Linked DNA regions of Canis lupus familiaris. The protein of the gene in region 5 interacts with the protein of the main gene of each other region in a pairwise test. Links are inferred from orthologs where the notes say so. Each region holds a gene or a part of one and is shown on either strand. Other genes may lie near its edges.

Evidence for each region.
Region 1: the proteins of SORBS3 (region 5) and KIAA0408 interact in binary tests that used the Homo sapiens proteins (3 or more experiments, as listed by UniProt). The two-hybrid records come from large-scale screens. The link is inferred for Canis lupus familiaris from reciprocal best matches to the Homo sapiens genes SORBS3 and KIAA0408.
Region 2: the proteins of SORBS3 (region 5) and CPNE2 interact in binary tests that used the Homo sapiens proteins (3 or more experiments, as listed by UniProt). The two-hybrid records come from large-scale screens. The link is inferred for Canis lupus familiaris from reciprocal best matches to the Homo sapiens genes SORBS3 and CPNE2.
Region 3: the proteins of SORBS3 (region 5) and SH2D4A interact in binary tests that used the Homo sapiens proteins (3 or more experiments, as listed by UniProt). The two-hybrid records come from large-scale screens. The link is inferred for Canis lupus familiaris from reciprocal best matches to the Homo sapiens genes SORBS3 and SH2D4A.
Region 4: the proteins of SORBS3 (region 5) and PAK2 interact in binary tests that used the Homo sapiens proteins (3 or more experiments, as listed by UniProt). The two-hybrid records come from large-scale screens. The link is inferred for Canis lupus familiaris from reciprocal best matches to the Homo sapiens genes SORBS3 and PAK2.
Region 6: the proteins of SORBS3 (region 5) and VARS2 interact in binary tests that used the Homo sapiens proteins (3 or more experiments, as listed by UniProt). The two-hybrid records come from large-scale screens. The link is inferred for Canis lupus familiaris from reciprocal best matches to the Homo sapiens genes SORBS3 and VARS2.
Region 7: the proteins of SORBS3 (region 5) and EIF3H interact in binary tests that used the Homo sapiens proteins (3 or more experiments, as listed by UniProt). The two-hybrid records come from large-scale screens. The link is inferred for Canis lupus familiaris from reciprocal best matches to the Homo sapiens genes SORBS3 and EIF3H.

Annotation. Positions count from the first base shown.
Region 1 is NC_049222.1:66,700,209-66,703,708, reverse strand, and holds part of KIAA0408 (uncharacterized protein KIAA0408 homolog), read left to right. Parts: intron 1-652; 5' UTR 653-756; coding exon 757-891; intron 892-3,500.
Region 2 is NC_049223.1:58,540,464-58,544,602, forward strand, and holds the start of CPNE2 (copine-2), read right to left. Parts: upstream 2,801-4,139; 5' UTR 2,743-2,800; intron 1-2,742.
Region 3 is NC_049237.1:22,892,425-22,895,924, forward strand, and holds part of SH2D4A (SH2 domain-containing protein 4A), read left to right. Parts: intron 1-91; coding exon 92-251; intron 252-1,917; coding exon 1,918-2,089; intron 2,090-3,500. UniProt on the Homo sapiens protein: Inhibits estrogen-induced cell proliferation by competing with PLCG for binding to ESR1, blocking the effect of estrogen on PLCG and repressing estrogen-induced proliferation. May play a role in T-cell development and function.
Region 4 is NC_049254.1:30,472,215-30,476,316, forward strand, and holds the start of PAK2 (serine/threonine-protein kinase PAK 2), read left to right. Parts: upstream 1-1,302; 5' UTR 1,303-1,409; intron 1,410-4,102. UniProt on the Homo sapiens protein: Serine/threonine protein kinase that plays a role in a variety of different signaling pathways including cytoskeleton regulation, cell motility, cell cycle progression, apoptosis or proliferation.
Region 5 is NC_049246.1:34,875,055-34,878,554, reverse strand, and holds part of SORBS3 (vinexin), read left to right. Parts: intron 1-407; coding exon 408-498; intron 499-742; coding exon 743-829; intron 830-928; coding exon 929-982; intron 983-1,772; coding exon 1,773-1,859; intron 1,860-2,394; coding exon 2,395-2,441; intron 2,442-2,527; exon of another isoform or gene 2,528-2,546; intron 2,547-2,862; coding exon 2,863-3,002; intron 3,003-3,203; coding exon 3,204-3,256; intron 3,257-3,382; coding exon 3,383-3,429; intron 3,430-3,500. UniProt on the Homo sapiens protein: Vinexin alpha isoform promotes up-regulation of actin stress fiber formation. Vinexin beta isoform plays a role in cell spreading and enhances the activation of JNK/SAPK in response to EGF stimulation by using its third SH3 domain.
Region 6 is NC_049233.1:831,961-834,701, forward strand, and holds the end of VARS2 (valine--tRNA ligase, mitochondrial), read left to right. Parts: intron 1-201; coding exon 202-408; intron 409-1,035; coding exon 1,036-1,147; intron 1,148-1,305; coding exon 1,306-1,481; intron 1,482-1,667; coding exon 1,668-1,796; intron 1,797-1,890; coding exon 1,891-1,986; 3' UTR 1,987-2,241; downstream 2,242-2,741. UniProt on the Homo sapiens protein: Catalyzes the attachment of valine to tRNA(Val) in a two-step reaction: valine is first activated by ATP to form Val-AMP and then transferred to the acceptor end of tRNA(Val).
Region 7 is NC_049234.1:16,572,273-16,576,348, reverse strand, and holds the start of EIF3H (eukaryotic translation initiation factor 3 subunit H), read left to right. Parts: upstream 1-1,276; 5' UTR 1,277-1,311; coding exon 1,312-1,443; intron 1,444-4,076.

The DNA.
Region 1 (3,500 bases), on a different chromosome or scaffold from region 5:
TGGAGACTGCCGCCCAGCACTGCTTCACGACCTTAAGTCGCAGACACATATAATCTCATTGCATCAAAACAGGAGTAATCCTGTTGCAGCAGAATCCACCATGGTTGTGCAGATCCAACCATACAGTTGAATTTCATACTTCCACCCTTAGATAGTCACTCTTAGGTAGTCCATCTTTAGAGGAGGTAGTTGGTTAAACGAATGCTCAGTTACATCTCACATATGCATTCAGCTATGATATTGCTGTCTGATTTCAGAAAGGGCAAAAAAACCATTTGAGCAAGGGGGGAAAACCCATTTGGGCCATACTTACTTTTTGACTATGTTAGTTCTTCTGTTTGTTTGTTTAAATTAATTAAGTAGGCTCCAAGCCCAACACGGAGCCCAATGCATGGCTTGAACTCATGACCCTGAGATCAAGACCCGAGCAGAGATCCCAAGTCAGTGGCTTAATGGACTGAGCCACCCAGGTGTCCCAACTGTGTTCGTTCCTCGTAAGCAGACTCTTCATCATCTCCTCTCTACTCTTAAGTACGGTTTTCCCGTCGTTTGTGTATGTCGATGGCTCTTAACAAAATGATAGCATGCTTCCAAAAAGCAAATGGATTTGGAACTCTTCCTTGTTATGTTTATATTAGGCTTTATTTTAAAGGCAAGTGAGACCGCTTCAAATAAACCAACTCCAAGCTTCCAAGAAACAGTTAAGAAGGCAGAGACAAGCAGAAATACCCCTTCAGTAACACTCACACGGTTGCCATGGCCCTGCATAAGCAGTGGGAGAACACAGAGACCGACTGGCACAAGGAAAAGATGGAACTGCTGGACCAGTTTGACAACGAAAGGAAGGAATGGGAGAGTCAATGGAAAATCATGCAGAAGAAGATAGAGGAGGTACAGATTGATTTGTTTTGACTACATTGACACTTAAAGCTCAGAATGAAAATTCCATTTGAAATTTGTCTTGTATTGGAAACCATTTCTGTTTTCCTCGTTCTGCCTCAGGAAGGCATGTCTCAATGACATTCGCTAGACCAAAAATAGCAGAACCTTATCCAGGGGTATTGAAGGGAGTAGGCCTTTTTTTTTTTTTTTTTTTTTTTTTTTTTTTTTTTTTTTTTTTGATAGCCCGGTATGAAAATGAAGAACTTAAAATGTCCTTCTAAAATGTATCAGTTTATCATGTTTTGACTAAAGTGCCTTGGTATCAAAAGTGGGGAACGTATTTTGCATGAGCTTCAAGCACGAGGCCCAAGAGGAAAATGTAAGAAAAACATAACCGGTGGGATGTATATTAGCAAAATTACAACTGGGCATTAAAATACAGATCTTTTCCTGAGATGATTTATGAATCATGTCTACTAAAGGAAATTACGTATTAGATCACTCGGTGCAATCAAAAGGAGTGTCGTATATCAGAATGGTGGTGGACATGATATTTATTCTGGCAAAATGTGCCACATTTATTGGCGCATTTGTTAGGAAAGGGGTTATGAAAAACAATGTGCCAGGGCTCTGATACAAATAGTCATTTTGTCTCCATTAACCATCCCTCAGCCCTGGAATATTTTCTTGAAGTATTCACATTGATGTATCTTTGAGCTGGTTTCAACTGAAAATTATTTATATTTATCTTGCTTGCCTCCAGTGACATTCATGTTGGGACATGGTTTGTGCACATTGCCAAAGTGATTCTTTAAACAGACTCCTTGGCCTTTTTTCACAGACAATCAAAGCTGGTGCTTTATGTGTTTATAGTGCAAATATTTTTCTTATTAACAGCCGTGTAATCGGTTGTGAACAAAATGTCAATTGGCACACTGCAAGGAAAAATTTAAAAAGAGTAACTGTTAAACTGTTCCATGTTACGGAGCTGAGGAGGCAGGCATGTAGTGTATGAGAATCCCCTGCTCGTACCTCTCTGGTTTGGAAATGTGTTTTGCTTACTCATGTAACTCCTTCACCTACAGACTAAGGGGGGATTAACAGGGAGATATCTATGTCAAGTCAGAATCCAAAGCTCAGGGGTCATTGGTTCCCAAAGGTTTGGAAGGCCAGATAATTCTGGCATCCGAGCCAAAAAAATTAAAGGAGTCAGGATTAGTCTGACCAATTGTTTAAGCCATGTGGCTAAAATAATCTGCTGCTTAAATCCTGTGTTGTCAAATAGCTATGCTGACAACCCCGTAGATTCTATCTATGGTAAATATCCGCCTTTTCGATTCGCAGGCATTAAACGTATCTTAAACATAGGATGGTAGTTTGTAGAAGTGCTCTTCCTTTCTGCATCGGGGAGGTAGAGGGCTGTAAGATTTTTTTCCTCATCTTGAATAGTAGCCACGGTGCTTTCTAGGTCTCTAGTAATATACAGCTCCCTCCAGCCCTGGGAGTGTGTCTGGATAAGGTGCTTCCCCAGAATACCCATAGATGATGCTCCGTAATTCCTGAACACTGGCCTCGTGCTCCTCTTATCATCCGAGTACATAGCTCTTTTCTCCTCACAGCTTTGTAGCCTATAAGAACGTACTTCTAACACGCCTGTCTAATAGGCTACAAACGAGGGTAGGAGAATTTGAAAAAAACGGGAGGAAAGTACCCTCCCATGTCACAGAGAATCAAGACATTTTTTTCCAACTGAAATTAAACACCAACGCACAAAAAATTATAAAATGCTGCAAGCAGAATAGACTGTATTTGCCTAATATATATCGCTAAGGCCTGTATATGGACTCAGACACAGATTAGTAAGCCGTGTACTAGGGAATTATAGATTCCTGCAGGTGCGCGTGTAACTTGACTCCAAGTGGTATCTTCCAGGGAGATCCAGTGTCAAGTGTTAAGATGCTAATGATCCTTCGCTCAGCCACCATCCACAATCATTGCATTTGCTATTGCGAAACCTGGATGTACGTACTTGGATTATTTGAAACCTGGAGTAATCTGGATAGAAACCCTAGAGTTCTTAGGTTTCTAGCAATTTTCTTTTTATCACATTGCAGTCTTTTCTGCTTGTCACCTTTGTTCAAATGATAACCACTGACAAGTGCTAGGTATGAAGTAACACATTTTCTTATACAAAATAAATCTGTTTTCCATCAATAGCATTATATTATTTGCTTATCCATACCTCACTTAAATCTCCCAGAGAATTTAAGATGGTATATAAAATTTTACATAAGGTGAAGTATTTCAAAATAAAACAACAACAACAACGAAGGTGAGATGAAGACAGGAGGAAGGAACTTATGAGAATTGCATGTAGCAAGTCTGTCTTTCCAGGAACGACCGTGAAAATCAGCAGATGCATATTTCTCAATATTCAGAAGACAAAGGCAAACCTGTTTCCCAGGAATAGCACTTTTGTCCCCGATTTTGAAAATGAAGCAATTTTGTTTTCACCCATCACGCCTCAAAAAGAGGACAATGTCACCATAAGCACCCTTAGATTTAAGATGGACTTTTGAGAGTTGCTCCTTAGAGAATCTCCCAAGGTCAGCCCAAAC
Region 2 (4,139 bases), on a different chromosome or scaffold from region 5:
CAAGGTGGACATGGGCCTCACCCATCTGGGGGGGGGGGCACTCTTTGGGGAGAGGGGCAGATAATAAGCTGAAACACAAATGAATAAATAAGATGACCGCAGAAGGTGGCTCCTGCCCTGAGAAAAATCAGGCAAGGTGATACCCAATGAGTACGCAATTAGCCGCTAATTAGCCTCATCTCAGACCCCGGAAAGCCAGTGGAGAAACAAGTCCACTTGACCACGCCGTGGGCGCAGAGGCCGGGTGGCTCACGGAGGGGAGAGGGCACTGGGCCGAGAACGAGGAGGCAACCCCACCCACTCCTTAGGCAGTGCAGGACCTTAGGAGGCCATGACTCCCCTGAGGCCCCCCTAATCTCCTTCTGCACAGTGGGGATGGGACAGGATCATCTTTTTCTTCATTTGCTGCTTGCCCAGATCCTAGGGTGACCCAGCCTCCTGGCTCCCACAGAGTCCATCCTGTGTCCTGTGGGAGGCAGAGGCTGGGCAGGGGGAGAGGATCCTGCCCCCTTTCTGAGGCCAATTCTCCAAAGGAGAGGAGGCTGGATTCCTGAAATGACTGCCCCTGATCCAGCAGCCCCTGTAAGGGTTTCGGGGGGAGGGATCTTCCATCAGGCAGATGGGACCCTGGCCCTGGGCTGAGGGCTTCTCAGTAGGAAACCTTGCTCCGACAGGAGTGAAGGAATTCTCAGAGAATGTTCCTCTGTTTTCTGTCACTCCTTAGAGCCCTGAGAGGCCAGCCCAAGGAGCAGGAATGGGAGCAACCATCGGATCCACTATCCCTCTTGGTATCCTCCTTCCCACTTGGGACTCTGTACTTTGAACGGCTCAGAAGTCTGACACTTGGCTTCTGAGGCTCCTCTCTCCAGGGAGGAGGCAGGAGAAGGGGGAGGAGCAGTTTGGCCTGAGAAAATCCCAGAAGGCATCCTCAGTACACTCCTTGGGTTTGGGGGCTTATGGATATTCCCAGGAATAATGATACTGACAGTCAACAGAGATTGGGGCTTTTCAGTTGACCAGTCACAATGCTGGCACGTGAGCCCTTTATCACCCAATTCAATTCTCGCAGCTACCTTTAAATAAATACACAATTACCCTAAAAGATTATAAAGGTATATAAAGTATTGTTCTCACTGCTTTACAGGTGTAGAAACTGATGCTGTATCCCTGGCCCTCCTGGACCTCCTGGCCCTGAGTTTTAAATTTTCACAGCCCCCAGGAAGGGAGGGTTACTTTGAAACACTGCACATGCCATTCACGCAGTGCACCCCACTTTGCAGAACCCATGTCTCCCAGTTCCAGCCTCCCAGCAGCCCTATAAGCTGGAACGTGGCATAGTTTGCTTCATTTTACAGATGGAAAACCTCTGTCCGAGCCCAGCGGGCCAGAAAGCACAGACAGGAAGTGGCAGGGGCAAGGAGGATCCAAGCGTCAACATTCTCGGTCCCTGGTTCTTTCCATGGAGAAACCGGCCTGGGTGACCCCTCCCAGTGGCCAGCTATGTTGACTCTCTGGGGCAGGACCAGAGCACACCAGGCCCTACGCCAGAGGGTTTGCAATAAAGCCACTCCTTTCTGTTTGTGTCCAGCTTCCAGGCACACAAGTCCTTGATGATTAGCCCATTTTACAGATAAGCAGCGGGAGGCTCAGGGGGTTGGAGTGGCCCCCAGGCCACCGGTTCCCACCCAGGTCTCCCAAAGCTGCTCGGGAGACTGGCCACCGGCAGGCTGCAGCTGCTGAAGGTTACAAAGGGGTTCCTCCTCCCATTACTGAAGCCGTGGGTGCCCCAAGGAATGGAAAAAGCCTTCCACCCATGGGTGACAGCCCACACCCGGAGGCAGGCAAAAACAACAAAGGCCGCTCTTAATTCTCCCAGATGCCTTGCCGGTGTCACTTCCCCGGATACATAACGGGGCTGGGAGAATCACAGGCAGCAGGACGAGCCCTCAACTGGCTACCAGAGCTCTGGGGTCCAGCCCCACTTGTGATCCTGCGCACATCACGGCCCCCTTCGAAGCAGCCCCTCTCCGAGGGGCTCGTCCACGGAGGGCGCGGAGGGCGGGGCTGGGGGATCCGGCGGGGTGCGAGGAGGGGGTAAGGCACCTCTATTCTCGGAACGCAAAGGAAGCAGGAGCCTTGCTCTTTCTTTCTCCCCTTGTCCCCCCCACCCCACCCCCTTAACCACACAGGTGCCAGACAGCTTTGGCGAAAAAACTAGTTTGCAAACACTCTTCGACTTCTGGGAAGCTGCCCGGCTCCGCTCCCTCTTCCAGGGCTGGGAGCTGGCTCCCAGGCTGTGGGCGGCGGCGGGGATCCTGGGGGTTGAAAGCAGGGTGCGGGGGCCCCCCGAGCCAGCCCGACCTCAAGTCTTCGGCAGCTCCGACCGTGGCGGAGGCTCTACCTTCCCAACGCCCCCAGGCTCCCTGCGGGAAAGGCAGGCGAGTCCCCCAACGGCTGGGCTGGGCTCGGACCCGAGCGGCGCCACCCTGCTCCCGCACCTCCCCGCTTTGCCCCCGGCGGTCGGGGCGCAGCCGGAGCGCCCCCGCGTGGCCGGGTCGCAGCTGAGTCACCCCGCTGGGGGCGCGCGGGGGGCGGGGGCTTGGGGCGCCACGGCCCCCGCGGCGGGACCCCGCTTCCTCCCGGCCCGCCACCGCGCCAGAAGCCGAGCCCCAAGGCCGAACTTAGCGCTCGCGCCAGGGCGCCCCCCCCGCTCCCGCCCCGGGCCGCCCGGGCCCCACTCACCGCGGGTCCCGCGGGCGCCGCCGCCCTCACGGCGCCGCCGCCTCTGCCGCTGCCCGCGCTCCGGGCCGCCGGGGCATCCCGGGGCGCTCCTCTGCTCGGCGGGGCCCGCGGGCGCGGGACGGGCTCAGGGTGCTGCCCGCGCGGCCCTCGCCAGCTCGCGTGCGCTCCGGCCGCTCGGGGTCCGCGCTCCTCCGGGCGGCGGCGGCGGCGGCGGCGGCGGCTCGGCTCCTCCCTCCGGCCGAGAGGGGGCGGGGGTGCGGAGGGAGTGGGGAGGCGAGGCGGGCGCTTCCTGGCGGGGCGAGCGCTCCCGCGGGCGGCGCGGAGGCGCTGTCCCGCCCGCCGCCCCGGCTCCGAGCCCGCGGCTGGCGCGCCCTGGCGCTCGGGGCTCTCGGGGCCGGATCCCGGGGTCCGAGCGCTCGAGGCCCGAATCCGAGGGTCCGATCGCTCGAGGCTGGGACTCCGGATGCGGCGCCGCTGCTTCGCACCCTCCCGGCGGGCCTCGCCGCAACCGCGGGCGCCTGCGAGGTCCGGGCACCGTGCGCCCCGGGCCGCGGACGCGGGACCCGAAGGTGGGCTCAGCCGGGGCCTGGGGGACCCCAGCGCGCTGCCTGCGGCCTCGAGCCCCGGGGCCTGCGCCGCGCCCTCGGGGGTACAGCGCAGGGCAAGGTTCGGCCGTGTTGACCAGCACTAGGACCGCAGTGTTCCCCCCACCCCCAATGGTAAAAGAGCTCGGCATTTTCTAGTCGCCAGACACTGGGAAGATGACACAGATTTCTCTGACAGAGATGATAAGATAAAGACAGTTTCAACACTGCCTGGAGCTAGGTAGCGGGAGCATAATTAAGGGGGGCCTTGAGGCCCTGGCATCGAGCCCACCTCTTCCTGCGAAGGCCTTCTTTTACCCTAGAAGAAGCATCAGTTCTTAAGAAATGCATCTGTCGCCGGGGCTCCTGCTGCAGACCACCCAGCGGTGTTTATGTGCACACACACGCCTCCAATTCATGGCTTCGGAGGGCTTTTAACCAGGTTGTGGGGGATCTCACGGCCCTGTCCCAAAGCCCTTGTCTCTGTGGCTCCAAGACCAGGAGGCACTTGGGTTGTGGTTTTTCCATTCCAGGTAGGAGAGGGTTAACTAGGAGACTCACACTGCAGCCTGTGAACCTCCCTCCAGTCTGAGTCACAGGCACTTTGCAGCCTTAGAGGGGCAACCACTAAAAACCCCAGGGCTCTGAGCTTTGTTTTCTGCCTGCCTATCCCCCAGCCCATCCTTCCCTTCCTCCAAGCTCTCCTCGCCTTTCCTCCATCGAGTCTTCAAAGCCCTCAGCCCAGCTCTGAGGCAAACCAGTCAGATCCAGCTCCAGCCCCACCTCCCCCAGGAAGCCTTGCTGGATTGATCT
Region 3 (3,500 bases), on a different chromosome or scaffold from region 5:
TCCTGAAAGACCCTAAATATTTTAACGATGGCAAACATAATAACCCATGACTAAAGATACTTGTCCAATCCAAATTTTGTTTTACTTGCAGAGAATGGCAAATCTGTTCATTGGAAACTGGGAGCCGATAAGGAAGTCTGGGTGTGGGTGATGGGTGAACACCATCTAGATAAACCCTACGATGTGCTCTGCAACGAAATCATTGCTGAGAGGGCCCAGCTGAAAGCAGAGCGGGAAGCGGAAGAGCTCAGGTACGAGATCTGTAAACCAGTGAGAGGCTGGCCACATATAAAATCATACAAAGGGGGGGGAAGGGAATAAAAATAAATAAAATAAAATCATACAAAGATTCCTCTTTTTCCCAGTATCTGCAGGGTGAGTAGATTGGGGCCTGAGAGTCACAAAAGTAACTTTAAATCCCTCTGGCAAGTTTCTTTATACTTTTCATGGTTCCCTTCATTCCCACAATGTGATCACATTAACCATTTTACCTCCTCACTTGTCATCCCAGTTTTGATCTGGATGTGGTTCCCCCATGATCAACTGGCTTCACTAGAATCATGCTGGAGCACCGCAGGCTGGCACAGCTGAGCATCGGAATATAAGTGAGAGGTGCAACATTGTTCAAGCTTTGGGCCTTCAAACAAGATTGGTTAGAGAGGGCAGGCCTCTGGGTGCTTACATGTGCCAGGTGGTAGGGATTCAAAGGTGAACGACAAGCTACCAGTCTAGGAGAAGAAACAGGCCAGTACACGATTAACTTCAGTCAGGACGGGCTGTGATTCATGCTACAACTAAGTTATAAACAGAGCATTAACTGAGCCCATTATTCCAAACCACAATAGAAGTGAAATCTGAATTGAACCTTGAAAGATAAGTAGAGTTTTCCAGCCGCAGAATGTCAGGAAGGAGATGGCAGGGAGAGGACATGATGAAGACCCCTAGTTTTGAATGTGTATGGTTCTTTGAGTGACAATGAGTTCTTCCAAGTGTTTGGGGGTATACATGAGCAAGTAGCAGGAGACAGAGGGCTGTGCTCTGAAGTGCCTTGGAAGCCAGATTTAGGACTTTGGACCTTATTCTGTGGACGGTGGAGGTGTTTGAATAAGGGAGTGACGTGATCAATCAGAGATATAGGATAACTCAGCTGGTAGTGGTGAGGCAGATGATAGATCTATCCCCTCTGCTAGGGGCCAAGGTGGCTTCTGTGAAGCCTCTTATCCCTTGAGTATTGACAGCCCTATCTGAGCTTATGAGATAGACAGCAGACATATGGACCTCAGTTCAGGTCCCGAGGGCTAGTGATGCTGCCCATCAATTCCTATAACTAAAACTATAAATGGGCATACAGAGATAAAGTAGTTATGTGCTGCTCATCATAGGAAGGCAGGGTGCTCTAGCAGACTAGCTTCTGAACAGAAGTTGGGCAGACCTGGGTTCAAATCCTGGCTGTGCCACTATGTGGTCTTGGATAAATAATACAATTATTTTGAGCCTCTTGCAATCAAGCAAGGATAACACAACCCCTTCCTTATAGGGTTATTATGAGGATTAATTAATGCATTTTCTTTTTTAAAGGTTTTGTTTATTTATTAGAGAGAGCACTCACGCAAGCAGGAGGAGGGAGAGAGACAAGCAGACACTGCACTGAGCACGGAGCCCAAAGCAGGTCTTGATCTCATGACTCTGAGGTCATGACCTGAGTCAGAATCAAGAGTCAGACACTTAACCAATTGAGCCACCAGGTGCTCCTAAATTAATGTCTTTAAATACTAGCAAAGGGCTTAACATATTATAAGCACTTAGTAAATGGTAGCTGTTAGTGTTTTTCACATAATTTGAATGTAGGCATCTGCTTTGGAAAAGCTGTCTGTGTTGGAGAATGTTTTTTATAATTCCACATTTGTTTCTCTTCAGAAAAACTCAGTCCAAAGAATTTGCCAATAGCTTGAAAATGAAATCACAATATTATGATCTGCAAGCACCAGATACCCAGGAGACTCACAGTATCTGTAAGAAAGCTGCAGAAGAAGAGGAGCTGGGGAAAGGCTCTCGACCATCACCATCCCTTGAAGAAGAGAAAATCCCAGTGAGTCTTTCATATGTGTAAACATGAGAATTTCATAACCAGAGGAGTTAGAGATATTGGGACACTGAGATGAATGTAGCTGAACAACAGGATCTCAAACGTTTCTTGGAAGAATCCCTCCCAACTTGAAGGTCCTGGTGTTCATTTCATTTTGGGGAATTTGGCTCACCTGCTACTTCACACCCCCTTTTTTCATGAGACTGAAGGCATAAAGAAAGAACTCCAGGAATAAAGTTTTACATTTTAAGATATTTTCAGGGTTTATTTTTCCCTGATATATTGTCTTCTATAACAGAGGTGGGCAACTTTTTTGTATGTGTGAAGGGACAGATGGTAAATACTTGAGGCTTCGTAGACCATACGGTCTGTCACAACTACCCAAGTGAATAGGTGAGGCTCTGTTGTGGTAAAACCTTACTCACCAAGACAGGGCCAGGTTGGCACCCAGGCTAACTGACCCCAGGCCCAGGACGCTGACATTTTTGTGATGTTTGGCTTCACAGACCTTGCCTGTGACTGTGGGGACCATTATTTCCTCAACACAATAGAACTTTACAATCAGAGTTGGTGTGAATTCTCTTGTGTGTCAGTTGGTTTAAAGAGCTCAGACATCATTTGCTGCTTAGATTATAGTTTGGAAGAACAATAAAACTATATTAATGAAGTACCTTCTTCTGCCAGGAATTTAATTAAACTAAGAATTCACAGGGGATTTGTAGTTTGACTTGCATTCAGGTCCCCAGCTCCATGACACTAGGCGCGTGGCTCTTGACCTCCATGAGGCTCTCAGACAGGGCTACAGTCATCTGTTCTTCCTACTTCATGGGCATATTATGTGGCAAGGCACACTGCTGAATGTCTCATTTAATTCTCTCAATGACCTTTTTTTCCTAGGGACTGTATTTGTCCATTTTATAGGTAAGAAAACAGGATTAGAGATGCCCAAGGTCTCATAGTTGACTGAACTGGGATTCAAACAGAGGTCTGCAGGACCACTAGGTCATTCCTTAACTATTGCATTTGATTGTCTTTTTAAATGAGGAATGTGAAGAGGCTTTATAAAGGGCTGCAAATATGAGGCTCGAAATATGTAGGGGCATAAAATTCTAAAATTTGGTTTATATCCCAGGGTCAGAACTGGGTCCTTTCCTCACATCTGCTGCTTTGTACTCCACACTTAATACCAAATTCCCTCCTTTTCTAGCACCCCTAAAATGAGAAACAAAACAGCAAGATCAAAAAACCTCCTTCAAAAGCATCGAGTATCCATGCTTATCCTTGTGCTTGAATTATAGTATTTCCATAGAAAAAAAAATGTTTTCAAAAGCAGGACAAAAGATTAAAGTAGAAGTTAAAGTAAATACCATGGCTATTATTTTGCTATATCATCAATATTACAGGGATTGTATTT
Region 4 (4,102 bases), on a different chromosome or scaffold from region 5:
CTGTATACTACATTTTCCACCAAGCAATCTATTGATCTTAAAGTATAAGTCAGATAACTTCACTTTCCTGCTTGAAACGCTGTAATAGTCCAAACTCGTTAGCATGGCATTCAAGATCCTCCTTGACCTGAATCTTGTCTACTCTAGTGTTTTTTCACAGTACACTACTCTTGCACCGAGCTCAAGCTTCACAGTTCGTCTTAACTGATCATAGCAAGCAAGCCCTTTTCTTCTTCCTTCTGTCTGTAATGCTATCTCCTAGGAGTGTCTCCTGTCTCTCTCCTGTTCTCAGCTTAAATGTTGCCTCCCTAAAGATTATTTCTCTGGCCGCCCAATCCAAAATAATCTCCCTAGTTATCTTCTCATACCAGATATCATTAGTTTAATTATTGTGCTTGCATATTTCTAAGCTCTACAAAGGCAAAGTGACTCATGTTCACCCTGTATCCTTGATGCCTTAATATCATACGTTTTAGATGCTCAAGTGTTTGTAGAATTAGTGAATACATTAATGAACTCCTCCTTCGATAAAACATGAAGGCCGGGCAGCCCGGGTGGCTCAGCTGGTTTGGCGCTGCTTTCGGCCCAGGGCGTGGTCCTGGAGTCCCGGGATCGAGTCCCACGTCGTGCTCCCTGCATGGAGCCTGCTTCTCCCTCTGCTTGTGTCTCTGCCTCTCTTTGTGTCTGTCATGAATAAATAAATTCTTAAAAAAAAAAAATGAAGGCCTTAATTTTCAAGGAGGTGGGATTTTAGCAGCAAAACATAGTAAGAGCTTGTAAATAAAATGCAAAATGGATAAGGGATGAATTTCCAGAAATAAGAGTCCTGAAACAGATTCACATAGCAGTGTGTGGGTCAGCGTCTTTGGCGCAGACTAGAATGGAGACAACGCTAAATTAAACGAGGGGCATGATTCTCTTTTTCAATTCAAAGAACACCGCCCCCCCCCGCCACGCCCTCCGCCGCCAAGAAGAAAAAAAGAGCGCGAGGGAAAGCGAGGCGAGCGGGCTGCGCGTCCGAACTACAACTCCCGGCAGCCCCCGCGCGAGCCCCCGGCCGCGGGGGGCGGGTCTCCGCCCCTGGAGCTCAGGGCCCGGCCGGCGAGGGGCGGTGTCCTGGCCCCGCCCCCGCCCCGCCGGCGCCCTCCCCCAGGCCTGGCCACGCGCGGCGGCGGCGGCTGTTCCGCTTCCCCTCCGGCCCGGCCCGTCGCCATTGCCGAAGGCTCTCTGCCTCCCCGCCCGGCGCCCGGGGGCTCGGCTGCCGCCCGGCCTACGCTCGCCGCGGCCGCGCTCCTGCGCCGCCTGGCCTCCCCGCCCGCCCCGCGCCGGCGCTTGCCCGGGGCGGCTCCGGAGCCCGCCGGGAGTTGGGACGCGGCGCCTCGCTGGGGCGGGGACCTCTCGGCGCCCGGGTAAGTGCAGGGCGGCCGGGGCGCGCTCCCCGTCCTCCGCGGCCTGCCGGCGGCCGCCACCTGCGCGCCCGGAGCCGCGGGCCTGGGGCGGCGGCTCATTGTCCGCTCCCGAGGGCGGTTTCGCTCGGCGGCAGCCGGCGGGGGAAGCTCGCTGGGCAGGCGCGGCCCGGCTCCTCTGGCGCCGGCCCTGCCCGCTCGCGGGCGCCCTCCCGCCGCCGCGCACCTCCGCGTCCCCCTCAGGCCTCGGCGAGTGCGCGTCGGTGCGGACGCCTCGGTGTCGGAGCGCGTGCGGGCCTCGCCGGCCTCCCGAGCCCCCGGATCCTCAGCGGCTCCCGGTGATCTGGGTCAAGGTTGGCCCTTCCCCGCGCGTGGCTGCCTCCAAAACACCACCGCACGCCCGCGACGTGGCCGCGGGGCCGTCGGCGGGCGCGACCTTTTGACCGCGTCCCTCAGCTGCAGTCGCCCCCGCGGCGGGCGGGCGGGCGGGCGGCGCGGGGCTGCGCCCTCCTCGCGCCTTGGCCTCAGCCCGCCGCTCCCCGCCGCCCGCCGCGCCGTCGCTTTCCGCCTCGGCGGGTCCTGCCCGCTCCCGTCGGTGTGGCTGCTCGGGTTCCCCTCCGCGCGTTACCTGCACTCGTTTTCTTTTTAGCCTCTTTGGCGAAAACGCATCGGAACGGTTAGGCCTAAAATTAGACCACGGCGAGCGGTGTTTTGGACCGAGGTTGTGCGCGTCACGTTTCTTCCCCTGCTCTGTCGGGCTCTTCCGCCCTTAGAAGGAGGCAGGATGTGGAGGTGTGCGAGGATCTGCTCGGGGGTTTTGTTTTCGTGGGGTCACCCGGGAGAATTACGTTCAATGAAATTAGATTGGGGTGAAGACAGTGAGTAGTCTTTTTTTTTTTTTTTTTTTTTTAAGATTTTACTTATTTATTCATGAGAGACCCACAGAGAGGGGCAGAGACCAACGCTGAGGGAGAAGGGAGCCCGACGTGAGACCCGATCCCAGGACCCCGGGGTCACGCCCTGGGCTGAAGGCGGCGCTAAACCGCCGAGCCACCCCGGGCTGCCCTGAGTAGTGATTCTTAAAGCAGGTTAGAACTTGTCGACTTTGCCAGAAGCTCTGTGGCCTTTCTAAAACACACACTTAACTTTTTCTTTCTTTCTTTCTTTCTTTTTAATTAAAGATTTTTATTTATTCATGACAGAGAGAGAGGCAGAAGGAGAAGCAGCCTCCACGCAAAGAGCCCCATATGGGACTCGATCCCAGGACCCCGGGATCACGCCCCGAGCCAAAGGCTGGTGACACTCAACCGCTGAGCCACCCAGGCGTCCCGTAACTTCTAAATGACTTTTATGTATATGCGGAAAATCTATATAGGCGTAGACCTATGAATTTGAAAGCTTTGTTCGTGTTCTGTTAATATGGGGTCTTGATTTAAGGCAGCTCTTTCATCCTTGGCTTTTAGGCCTTTCTAGCTATCGCTTAGCCAAGAATACTGACTTCCCGTATGAAAAATGAATGTTAAAATGTTTTTGAGCTGTGATATATGTAGACCCTAAGCCCACTGCAGGGTTTGGTAAAGAGGTTGATCTACATTCAGGGAATTTTGTTTTCACTGGATCCTCCCAACTTTCCCTAAGTGACTGAGTACTGAGCTGTATGTAATACTGTTAGCATTTGACGGTGTCATTTCTCCTTAACTTGAGAGGTGTTGTGTGCCACAGGGGCTAAGGTATGGAAATGTTGGGAGTGTGAAATTCGGTCTGTTGATGTCAGTTTCTCTGCCGGTTCTTCAACAAGGGGGTACTTTTACCAAGGAAGAGTTACTGGATATTCCTCTTCACATAGGGATTTGATTCGTGGTTTACCATTATTCAAAAAGAGTTATTCTTTTGGACTTTGTGACACTTAATAGTAACCTTGCAAACCCCAAATCATAAAGGAACAATAAGTTTGTACTGGGGGTGTATCTGCTAAACAAATGAATAGGGGGGTTCCTGTGGTTCTCTGATCTTTATGATAGGCAGTTTTCCAAATAGGCATGGTTAACAGTGGTGTGTATTTCTTCTTAATTATATATACTTAAAAAAAAAAAAAAAGAGTAGAACTGGCTCAGGTAGCTAAGGATAAACTTTCGATTATACTTTTTAATAAAGAGAACTTGTTCAAATAAAGTAAGTAGGCACTTTAAAATCCTCCCTATGTTTCTTCTGTCAATATCGATTATTCTGCTATTCGAGTATAATGTTTCTTTGACTTATTGAAATTTCTCCTTTTCATTTAAGCTTGAAACTAAGCCCTGTTCAGTGCTTTAAGGCTTCAGGATTCTGATCAGTTTGTTTTCAAAGGCCCTTCCAGTTAGTTAGAGGGCTAATTCCAGACTAGTCAGAAGGTGGGTAAGTTACTTACGAATCTGAGTTGTCACTTGTATCCTTGTACCTGGGTAGAAACCGAAAGAGAAGGAAAAATAGCCCCCCTTGCCCTGAAGAAAATACTGATTGTTTCCTTCTGTGATCAGAATTTTCACTAGTTCTTCATTTTAGGATCACTAACCTACTTAAGGATAGTCCTTCTGAACATTCATGTAGGATTTCAGAGTTCTAGCCTATTATTATCTCCGAGGTACAATAGTACTTACCATTCCATGTGTCTCAAATGGTTAGGTGCTGGGGACCTGGGTTTGAATCATTACTCTCTA
Region 5 (3,500 bases):
ACATACATAGCCACAGCGTGGGTTCAGACTGAACACAAATGTAGCGTATTTCACCAAAACCAGTGGGAAGGGACTGGCCACTCATGGAACAGATGCATGTGTTAGGCCTTCTCCTGGGTGCCTCACATGTGTTCCCTCACCTGAGCTTCACCACACTCTCATGAAGGTGGGTCTCCTCCTCATATTACAGGTATTGAATCTGAGGCTCTGAGAGCTCTGTAACTCACCAACAGGTCACAGCTAAGTGGTGGAGCTGTCATCTGAACTTAGAGCTCATAACTCCTCGATGTAACAGTGCTTTCGCAGGCTGGAACCCATAGTGCAGGGGGATGGGGATGGTGGTGTTCTCACTCATGCCTCAGTCTCCCTAAAAGGAAACTTGAAGAGATGTCCTCCCCTTTCTTTAGAAGAAGCTGGAACCCCTCCGAAGAGTTTCCTAGAAGTACCTTCAACTGTAATCCTGGAGCACCCTCCTCCTTACACCAGACCCCAAAGCAGGTAGCCTGCCCGGCATCCTCTCCTCACTGCTGTGCTCTTGGGCCAGACACCTCTGCTGAAGAGCACAGATAATGAATGCCCTTTCAGTTTGGGGCCTGTCCTATGTAGCCAGGAGAGCCCAGAATCCTTAGGAGGGCACTGGCAGGCATAGAGGTGAGGCAGGGGCCTACAAGCCTGCTTTTTGAGCCTGGACAGTGTCCTGGTACCCCTCTGCTTAAGCTGATGCCCACCTACTTCCATGCAGGTACCCAAACGCCAAGAGAAAGCAGACAATGTCTGGACGGAAGATTCTTGGAACCAGTTTCTGCAAGAACTAGAAACTGGACAGAAGGTAAGTGTCCTCCTGGCCCTCTAAGAGTGAAGATACTCTTTAGCTAGTGCATTTTGGAAAGTGAGTTCACCCCCTCTGACTCACCCTTCCCACCTTTAGCCCAAGAAACCACTAGTGGATGACCCTGTTGAGAAGCCCTCCCAGCCCATTGAGGTGAGTCCTGCAGGACAGGTTGGAGGAGGAGGGAGACAGCTATGCAGGGGGATGAGTGAGGGAGACTTTGGGGTGGTGTTAGCCCCAGTTACCATGGGCAAAAACAGAGACCCAAAGCTCTGACCCTCTCCAGTCCCATACAGTTTGCCTCTGTATCCCCAGCACCTGGGACAGTGCCTGGCATACAGTCTGCCCACAAAGATGTGTTGAATACATGTCCCCTGACCAGAGCAGCAGCAGAGAAAGGAGTGGTCAGTGTGGACTTGTCAGGAAGTATTCTTGGAGGTGGAGCTGAGGTCTCAAGAGTTGGGAGGGCTTGGTTCTGGCAGACAGCCAGCTCAGTGTGAGGGAGATGCAGAAGCAAAGGAGGGAAAGCCGGTGGAGCACAGGCTGTGGAAAGCCGCCGGCAACTTGGTGAGGGAGGAAATAGGGAGCTCTATAGGCTCTGGAACAGGGAAGTGAACGGACAAAAGGCACCAACAGGAAGTACTAAGGTACTATCATGGGAGTAGGGATGGGTGAGCCAGGTCAGATGGGAGGGGCCAGCGAGGAGCTGTGGATGGGCCATCCTGACACCCTGAGACACAGCTCTGGGCAGGCCCACAGGCAGGGAGCCTGGCCTGGCCCTGTGCCCCGAGCCTGCCCTTTACCCAGGCACAGTGTGCTTTGCTTCGTCCTGCCGCCCCCTGGGTTTCTCACATCTGACCTGCGACCAGTGCTCCCCCACCGTGCCCTCCACCCCTCCGCCGCGCCCCGCTGCCCGGGTCTCTCCCCATAAATCCGCCCCCAGGTCTTGCTGGAGAGAGAGCTGGCCAAGCTGAGTGCGGAGCTGGACAAGGACCTGCGGGCCATTGAGACCCGGCAGCCGTCCCCGAAGGTACCGGCCCCCCAGTCCCCTCCCGGATGACCCGGAGTCCCCCGCACGGCCTCCGAGCGTGGGCGGGAGGGGCAGGCAAAGCGGAGGTGTCGCCCCCGGCGCGCTCGGCACGACCTTGGACGGACTTCATCCCGGACTGCTGTCTCCTGTATAAAATGCAGGGCGTTGACTTTTCCAAGTGACCCCTAAGAACCCTTCCAGGCGACTCCACGTCAGCCGGCCGGCGGGGTGCGGGGTGCTGGGGGCCCCCGCCCCCCCTGTCCGCAGGGACCCCCACCTACCCGGGCCGGGTTTCCTGGGCCGGCCTCCACTCTTCCGCCCCGCCCCCGCCCCCGCCCCCGCCCCCCCGCGTTGTTCCTCCCGGGTTCCTGCGCGGCCGACTCTAGGACCCCGCGTCCCTCCGCCCCTCCCGCCCCTCCCCTGCCCTCCCCACCCCTCCTGCGGCCGAGCCGCAAACTTTTCCGGAGGCGGCGGCCTCGGCTGCCGCGGGAACCCGGCGCCCCGGGCCCTGACCGCGCCCCGTGTCCCCGCACAGAGCTCCCAGGCGCCCCGACGGTCCCGGGAGCCGCGGCCCCCAGCGCGGTGAGTTCGCGGCCGGGCGGGGCGCGGGGGACGTGGCGCGGGGCGGGGGGAGCCGGGCGAGGGCGCGGAGGAGGGGCCTGGCGGCGGGCGGGCGGCCGCGCAGGGGTCGGTCCCCGTCCCGGTCCCCGTCCCCGTCCCCCTCCCCGGTCCCCGTCCCCGTCCCCGGTCCCCGCGCAGGGCCTGGGGGGCCGCGGCCCGCGCCCGGGGGAGCCTCGCGCTTCCCACGCGCGCTCCCGCCCCCCGCGGCCCGGGCCGCACCCTGTCCTGCCGGGGCTGCGGGGGAAGTAGGACATCCTGCGGCGAGCCCGGGACGGGGAGACGCCTTGGGGGCGGCGGGAGGGGGGACGCATCCGGGCGGCCGGGGTGAGTGGCTGCGGTGCGAGGCCCCGACAGGTGGCTCACGCGCCGCGTCCCCGCGCAGCCCGGCCTCCGCCTGGAGCACCAGCTCCCCGAATGCACTTTACCAGGGTTCCTCCCGGCCTCTGAGCCCCCACAGAATGGCGGATGGAGCGAGCCCCTTCCTAGGTCGTAGGGACTTTGTCTACCCTTCGTCGGCCCGAGGTAAGCACTGGATCCTGCACTTTTTCTCACCTGGAGGCCTGCCACCGTGCCCCCCCCCCTGCTGTGGGGTTGTGGGGAGCGGGCGGTCATAGAGCACCCTGCTTCCACTGGTCCATGTCCTGGGGTGGGGGGAGCAGAACCCCTTCCCAACCCCGCCCCCCAGACGTGGCCTTCCCCAGCTGAGGTCGCGCTTTTCCACAGACCCTAAGGCCACTGAACGCGGGGCCAGCCCAGTCAGGAAGGAAGAGAAGAAGGTAAGCAGGGATGGGAGCTACTCGGACCAGAGTGCATGGGGATCCAGGATGGATCTCCTGTTGGCTGTTCTGGACCTGCCACCTGCTTGACTAAGGTGCCTGCCTCTGTCCTCTCCCCCTGCCCAGAGGAAAGCTGCCAGACTCAAGTTTGACTTCCAGGCACAGTCCCCCAAGTAAGCGCCCTTCTCTCTCCACCCCACCCCCACCCCACATGTCTCTGCACCCCACGGAGGAGTGGTCTCCC
Region 6 (2,741 bases), on a different chromosome or scaffold from region 5:
GAGACTCCCTGCCATAGATTTCCATTTTTCATTTGCTCCAGAGTGTGTTCTGGGACCGCCAGTGGTTTCCAGGCTTCTGTGTGCTCCCGCCCTTGTTTACCCACAGCATTTTCCACTGGCAGGGCAGTGAATGTGTGGACAAAGGACATGGAGGGGGCCTGGGCCTGGGCCTGTCCCCTGACCCTATGGCTTCCTCCCTAGGAAGCTGTGAAGCCAGTGCTTTCGCACTCGCCCCATCCCCAAGGCCCGCCTCAGGTCCTGTTCTCCTGCGCTGATGTGGGTCTCCGCCTCCTCGCCCCACTGATGCCCTTCCTGGCTGAAGAGCTCTGGCAGAGGCTGCCACCCAGGCCTGGCAGCAACTCTGCCCCTAGCATCTCTGTTGCTCCCTACCCCACCACCCATAGCTTGGTGAGTGACATATCCCTGACGTCTGTGAATGGGACCGTTGGTGAACAGCTGGGGCGCCGGCTTCTCAAAGGGTGTGGTGCCCTGGGGTCATCAACAGTCTTGGTGTGGACTTTAATATAGAGTCTTCAGGGAGGTGAGTAGTTCTTGCAGGGATGTGTTGGGGGCAGCGTACAAGAGCAGAACTACATTGCTATGTGGCTGTGCCTCAGTTTGCCATCTTTAACCAGGGGTAGTAATAGTTCATGTCACAGTTATGATAAGGATAGGATGGCCCCCAAATATCTGCAATTTTAAGCTTTAATAATTTCAGAAGAATAAATGCTGACCAACTCACCCCCAAAATTATTTTAAAGTTGACCTGTTTAAATTTTCTTATGCTTGTTCGGTTTTGTGAGTAACACAGTTGAAATTCTAATTTCCTTTTGGTTGTTTGACATCTTTGATCAGAGCAGTTAACAGACATCAACCACAGATATCTGTTAAGATCTTAGATGTGCCCCAGGTTGTGCTTGAGGTGGTGAATTGTGTGTAGTGGAGACTGGGGTAGGCAGGTGTGGGCTGGAGCCAGGAGGGTTGATAGTGAGTTTCCCCGGATCCTGCTTGTCAGCTCTGGGTCTTTGTCTCTAGGAGCACTGGCGCCAGCCTGCGCTGGAACAACACTTCTCTCAGGTCCAGGAGGCTGTGCAGGTACTGAGGGCCCTCCGAGCCACGTACCAGCTCACCAAGGCCCGGCCCCGAGGTGAGATGGGCCCTAGGTTCCTGAGGCCCTGTGGCAAGAAGGGGTTGGCAGAGGCACGGTGCGAGCCTGGGGGGCAGAGCCCAGAGTTAGGAGGGGCAGGATGGGAAGAGAAGCAAGGTCTCATGCTTTGACCCTGACAGTGGCCCTTTCCTCCTCAGTACTGCTGCAGAGCTCAGAGCCTGGAGAGCTGAGCCTCTTCAAGCCCTTCCTGGAGCCCTTGGCCACACTGGGCCACTGTGGGGCCGTGGGCCTGTTACCCCCAGGTGTAGCGGCACCCTCCGGCTGGGCTCAGGCCCCCCTCAGTGACACCATTCAGGTGTACATGGAGCTACAGGTGCTGAGAGGAGATTGGAAGGGGAAGGGAGACATCGAACGGATGTCAGGAGGAGGGCAAGGGGCGGGTTCTGTAAAAGTGAGAAAGACTCCTGAAAATGGGGTGAGGGAGGTACTGGACGGGCTGTGGGTGAAGCAGAGATGCAGGTGGCACAGAGAAGGCTGAGCCCTCACTGTTCTTCCACAGGGCCTGGTGGACCCCCAGGCCCATCTGGCTCTGCTAGCTGCCCGAAGACGCAAGTTGCAGAAGCAGCTGGATGGCCTCATGGCCTGGACCCCATCAGGGGGAGAGGAAGAGACTAAGAGGCAGCAGAGGGTAAGGCTGGGGGAAGCCTGACTCCCTGAGGGAACGTGGGCTGGAGAGGGTGGGCCTTATATCAGAATCTTCACCTGCTTCTCTTCCCGTCTAGCTTTCTTCCCTCCAGCTGGAGTTGTCAAAGCTGGACAAGGCAGCCTCTCACCTCCGGCAGCTGACGGATGCATGTCCCAGCCCCAAGGAGCTCTGAGCACCAGTTCATTAACCCTGGGGGTTTTCTTCTCCCTCAGACCTGCCTTTGGGACAAACCGATCTGGCAGCGTCAGAGCATGATGGGTCCTCTGAGACCATGCGGCTCACCTCCCTCATTTTGTAAAATGAGGAAACAGACTGGCTTGGTCAGCATCACTGGGTGTCTTTAAGATGTTCACATTCCTGCCCAGCCTTCCTCCTAGGCAGTGCCACCTGGAAGTTTAGGAATGAGATAAACTTTTAAAATCTCAAACATTATGGCCTGTGGTCCTTTTATCCATCTTTCCCTTTGTGGTGACTTTCTTGCCTCTCAATTCTTTTTTTTTTTTTTTTAAAGATTTTGTTTATTTATTCATGAGAGACAGAGAGGCAGAGTCACAGGCAGAGGGAGGAGCAGGCTCCCCACGGGAGCCCGATGTGGAACTCAATCCTGGGACCCCAGGGTCACGCCCTGAGCTGAAGGCAGACACCTAACCGCTGGTCCTGCTTCTCAATTCTTCCCTGAGACTTTGGTCTTAGCCTTGGGCTCTGGGCTGCAGTGGGAGTGTAGGAGCTGGCGGTGCCTGCCTCATTGGAAGAAAGAGCTTCCAGTAGGGTCTGGCCGCAGTGACTCGGGTTCTACCTACTTCGAATTATTGACGGTGCCTTGGCTTCTGCAGGCCCTTCCTCCTCACCAAATGGAAGCTCCTCTGTTCCTTGGTCTTATCTTGGGGGGATGCTGGAGAAGAGCAGGTACTTCTCTAGCCCCGAGGA
Region 7 (4,076 bases), on a different chromosome or scaffold from region 5:
TGTTCATGGCTCAGGATACGGTTTATACCTTCCATGGGCATTTGAAAATAATGAAACAAATGTGTATTCTGTTGTTGGGTGGAATGTTTTTATAAATGTTGATTAGATCCTGTTGATGGTATTGCTGAGTTCTTTTATATTTTTGATGATTTTTTCTCTAGTTGTTCTGTTAATTGTTGAAAGAGGGGAGTTGATGTCTTAAACTATGACTGTGTATATGTCTATTTGTCTTTGAGTTCCAGGAGTTTTTTCTTTACAGAAGCTCAGCTTTGTTGCTAGGGAATACACATTTAGAATTACTATGTGTTTTTGGTGATTGGCCAATTTATCATTATATAATGTCTCTCTCTGTCTCTGGTGGTTTTCTTTGCTCCAAATTCTCCTTTATCTGATATTAATAATATAGCCACTGCTGCATTCTTTGGCGTAATGTTTGCATGATATATTTTCCATCATTTCACTTTCAGTATGCCTATATTACTATGTTTGAAATGAGTTTCTTTTCGACAGCCTATAATTGGGTGGATTTGTACTATGTCAACTTTGCTAAGCTGGAATCATACTTCCTAGAATTCCCTTTCTTGTAGAGTCTGAGCTAGGGTTGGCTGCAGGGGTGTGAGGGAAACAGAGAAGTCAAAGATGACTCTAGGGTTTTTGGTCTAATAAACTGGAAGAATTGAGCTGTCATCAAATGAGATGAGGAAGACTATGGAGGGAGGTGGTATTTGGAGTTCAGTTTTGGAAAGTCTGGGTTGTTAGTCCATGTGGAACATTTAAGTAGAGAAGTTGCATAGGCAGATGGACATGCCGGTGTGGACTTCGGTGGAGGGGTCTAGGGAAAATCAATTTGGGAATTATCAGTTCTGCATAGACATCTCTTGAAGGGGTAAACATTTCAAAAATAAGCAACAGGCAAAATTTGGAAAGACGGAAAGAATGTCTTCATTAAAAAAAAAATTAAAAGTGAAATCGTTTTCAGGCGAGACGCTACCTGCATGAGAGCTATAACGCTGTTACGGCCAACTGACTCATGGAGACTGACTAAACGTGAGGTGGGAAACATCTTTAAAAGTCTACCTGTGTCTTAGAAAGCTTTTGCGGAGCAAGAAGCCGCAAACGCACTTCGCACATGCGCAAAGGCGTTCCCTGGCGGAAGCGTGGGAGCCGGACGAGCGGAGGGAGGCGGGGCCCCGCGCCAGCCTCTCCTCCCGCTCCGCCCCCCGGGCGCCGGGCTGCTCGTGACGTCACGTGGAGTTCGTACTTCCGCTTCCGGCCACTCACGTTTCTCTTTTTTCCTGTCCGGCTGAAAAGATGGCGTCCCGCAAGGAAGGCGCCGGCTCCGCTGCCACTTCTTCCAGCTCCACCACCGGCCCGGCGGGGAAAGGCAAAGGCAAAGGCGGGTCCGGAGATTCGGCCGTGAAGCAAGTGCAGATAGATGGCTTGGTGAGTGGGCTTCCGTTTCGCCGGGTCCACGTGGGGACCTCGGTTCTTCGTCCTGTCCCGCCAGACGCGCTGCTTGGCAGCCTCTCCCTGGGGCCTCGTGAGACTGGGACAGAGTTTTTTTCCCCGAAAACCTTTCTCTTTCATCTTCACTGTTTGTGGGGAGGCGCGACAACTTTCTCTGCCACCCATCGTGGGGGTTGAGGACTTAGGGAACAGGCTAGGGGTGTGTGTGTGACAGATTCTTGGGGTCTTGTCACGAGACGCTTAGATTTGGAGAAAGAGTCGTTTGGAAGACACATAGGGGAAGGCAGGTATCAAGAAGGATCTAGGAATCCACGGCTTTTGGAAGGTGAGGTAAACTTCATTGCTTCTCTGCCTGGGTCTGACATCCGTAACTTCCCAAGTGGAGATTGACTTTATAGCCACTTGTGAGCCGGTGAAGCCGTGGAGTGGGGATGAACATGTCTTATGTTGGCTTCCCCTTTCCCCGTCTGTGCCTGTTGGAGGGCCTCGGGATTGGGGTTTAGGCATCTTTCTATCCGGTCTCTGTTTGACGGGTGTAACCAGAGGAGGTAAAAGCACACTCCTGGAGCCAGACGGCGTGGGTTTGAGTCCCACCTGAATAAGAGGCGCCTGGGTGGCTCAGTGGTTGAGCATCTGCCTTCGGCTCAGGTCCTGGGATCGAGTCCCGCATCAGCCTCCCCACATGGAGCCCGCTTCTCCCTCTGCCTGTGTCTCTGCCTCTCGCTCTGTGGGTCTCTCATGAATAAGTAAGTAAAATCATTAAAGAAAAAATTTAAAATTAGCTGAATGGTATTGGTTAAGTTAATCTTTACATTTATGTTCCTCATTTCGGTTGTTTTGAGGATTAAAATTGGCTTAATATATGTCAGTAACTAGAACAGTGTTCTGGGACATAGTTAATGACCATTTAATCCCTAGTTGCTCAAGTGTTATTATTTGTGTTCCAAAAAGTCACAACAGTAGATACTCCTTAAATTCCTTTCTTGTGGCTTTTTTTTTTTTTTTTTTTTTTAATGATAGGCACACAGTGAGAGAGAGAGAGAGAGGCAGAGACACAGGCAGAGGGAGAAGCAGGCTCCATGCACCGGGAGCCTGACGTGGGATTCGATCCTGGGTCTCTAGGATCGCGCCCTGGGCCAAAGGCAGGCGCCAAACCGCTGCGCCACCCAGGGATCCCCTTTCTTGTGGCTTTAAATATAATTTATATTCTGATAACCTTTAGATTTATATTTCTTGCCAGACTTGGTTTTTGAGTGCCACTCTTGAACACCCCACTCTTTGCCTGACATCCCTATTTGGATATCTTATAGGCATCTCAAATTTTACTTGTCCAAAATAAAAGTATGGCCATGTCCCTTTCCTTCCTTTCTCCTCTTCGGTCTTTCCTTGGTCTCCCGTCCTAGGAAATGGACCTATCATCTATGCATTTGAACAAGTCAGAAAACCTAGGCATTAACCCTACATTTGTTTTTTTTTTTTTTCCTCCGTCAGCAAATCCTGTTAGTTCCACCTCCAAAATGTATCAAATTCCATTTTTTTTTTAAGATTTTATTTATTTATTTGAGAGAGAGAGAGAGAGAGAGAGGCAGAGACACAGGCAGAGGGAAAAGCCGGCTCCATGCAGGGAGCCCAATGTGGGACTTGATCCCAGGACCCAGGATCACAGCGTGAGCCAGAGGCAGACGCTCAACCGCCGAGCCACCCAGGCATCCCTATATCAAATTTCTCTGCTTCTCATCTATATGCCATCAACCATGTCCACTTGGAATAAAATATAGTCTTCTTACCCCATTCTTCAAGGTCCTGCTATTCTAGTCTCTTCTCCAAACTCACCTCCTACTTGTAGACTACATTCCTAGTGACATTTTAGTTCTTTGTTTTCTCCTGAAATACTCAAGTATTTCTTACTACTTGGTGGCTTCTTACGATCCTCGAGGTCCTTGGCTTTATTTTTAATTTTTATTTTTTTAAGATTTTATTTATTTATTCATGAGAGAGAGAGAGAGGCAGAGACATAGGCAGAGGGTGAAGCATGCTCCATGCAGGGAGCCCGACATGGGACTCGATCCCAGGTCTCTAGGATCACACCCTTGGCTGAAGGGAGCGCTAAACCACTGAGCCCCCCGGGCTGCCCTGGTCCTTGACTTTAACGCCGCATTTTAAGAACGGCTTTGCCTACCAAACCTGTCGAAATGTATCTCTCTCTCCATCCTCCTCCATCACACCACTCTGTTTCATAGCATTTTCCACTTCCTGTAACTGTCTTTGTTTTCTTGTCTCCCCCACCAAGAATGTAAGCTCCTGAGGGCAGGCAAGGGACTATGCTCTTTCATGAGTTATGTTTCCAATAGAACCTTTTAGCTGATATGGATAGAATTTAAATGAATGAATAAAAGATTTCATTTTATTTTTTTTTTAAGATTTCTTTATTTTAAGAGGAGGAGTGGGCAGGGTAAGGGTGTGGGTCAGAGGAAGGAGAGAAGCAGACTTCCCACCCACCAAGTGCTAGCTGGCTGTGAGGCTACATCCTATGACCCTGAGATTATGACCTGAACCAAAATCAAGAGTTGGACACCTAAAGACTGAGCCACCCAGGTGTCCCTCATTTT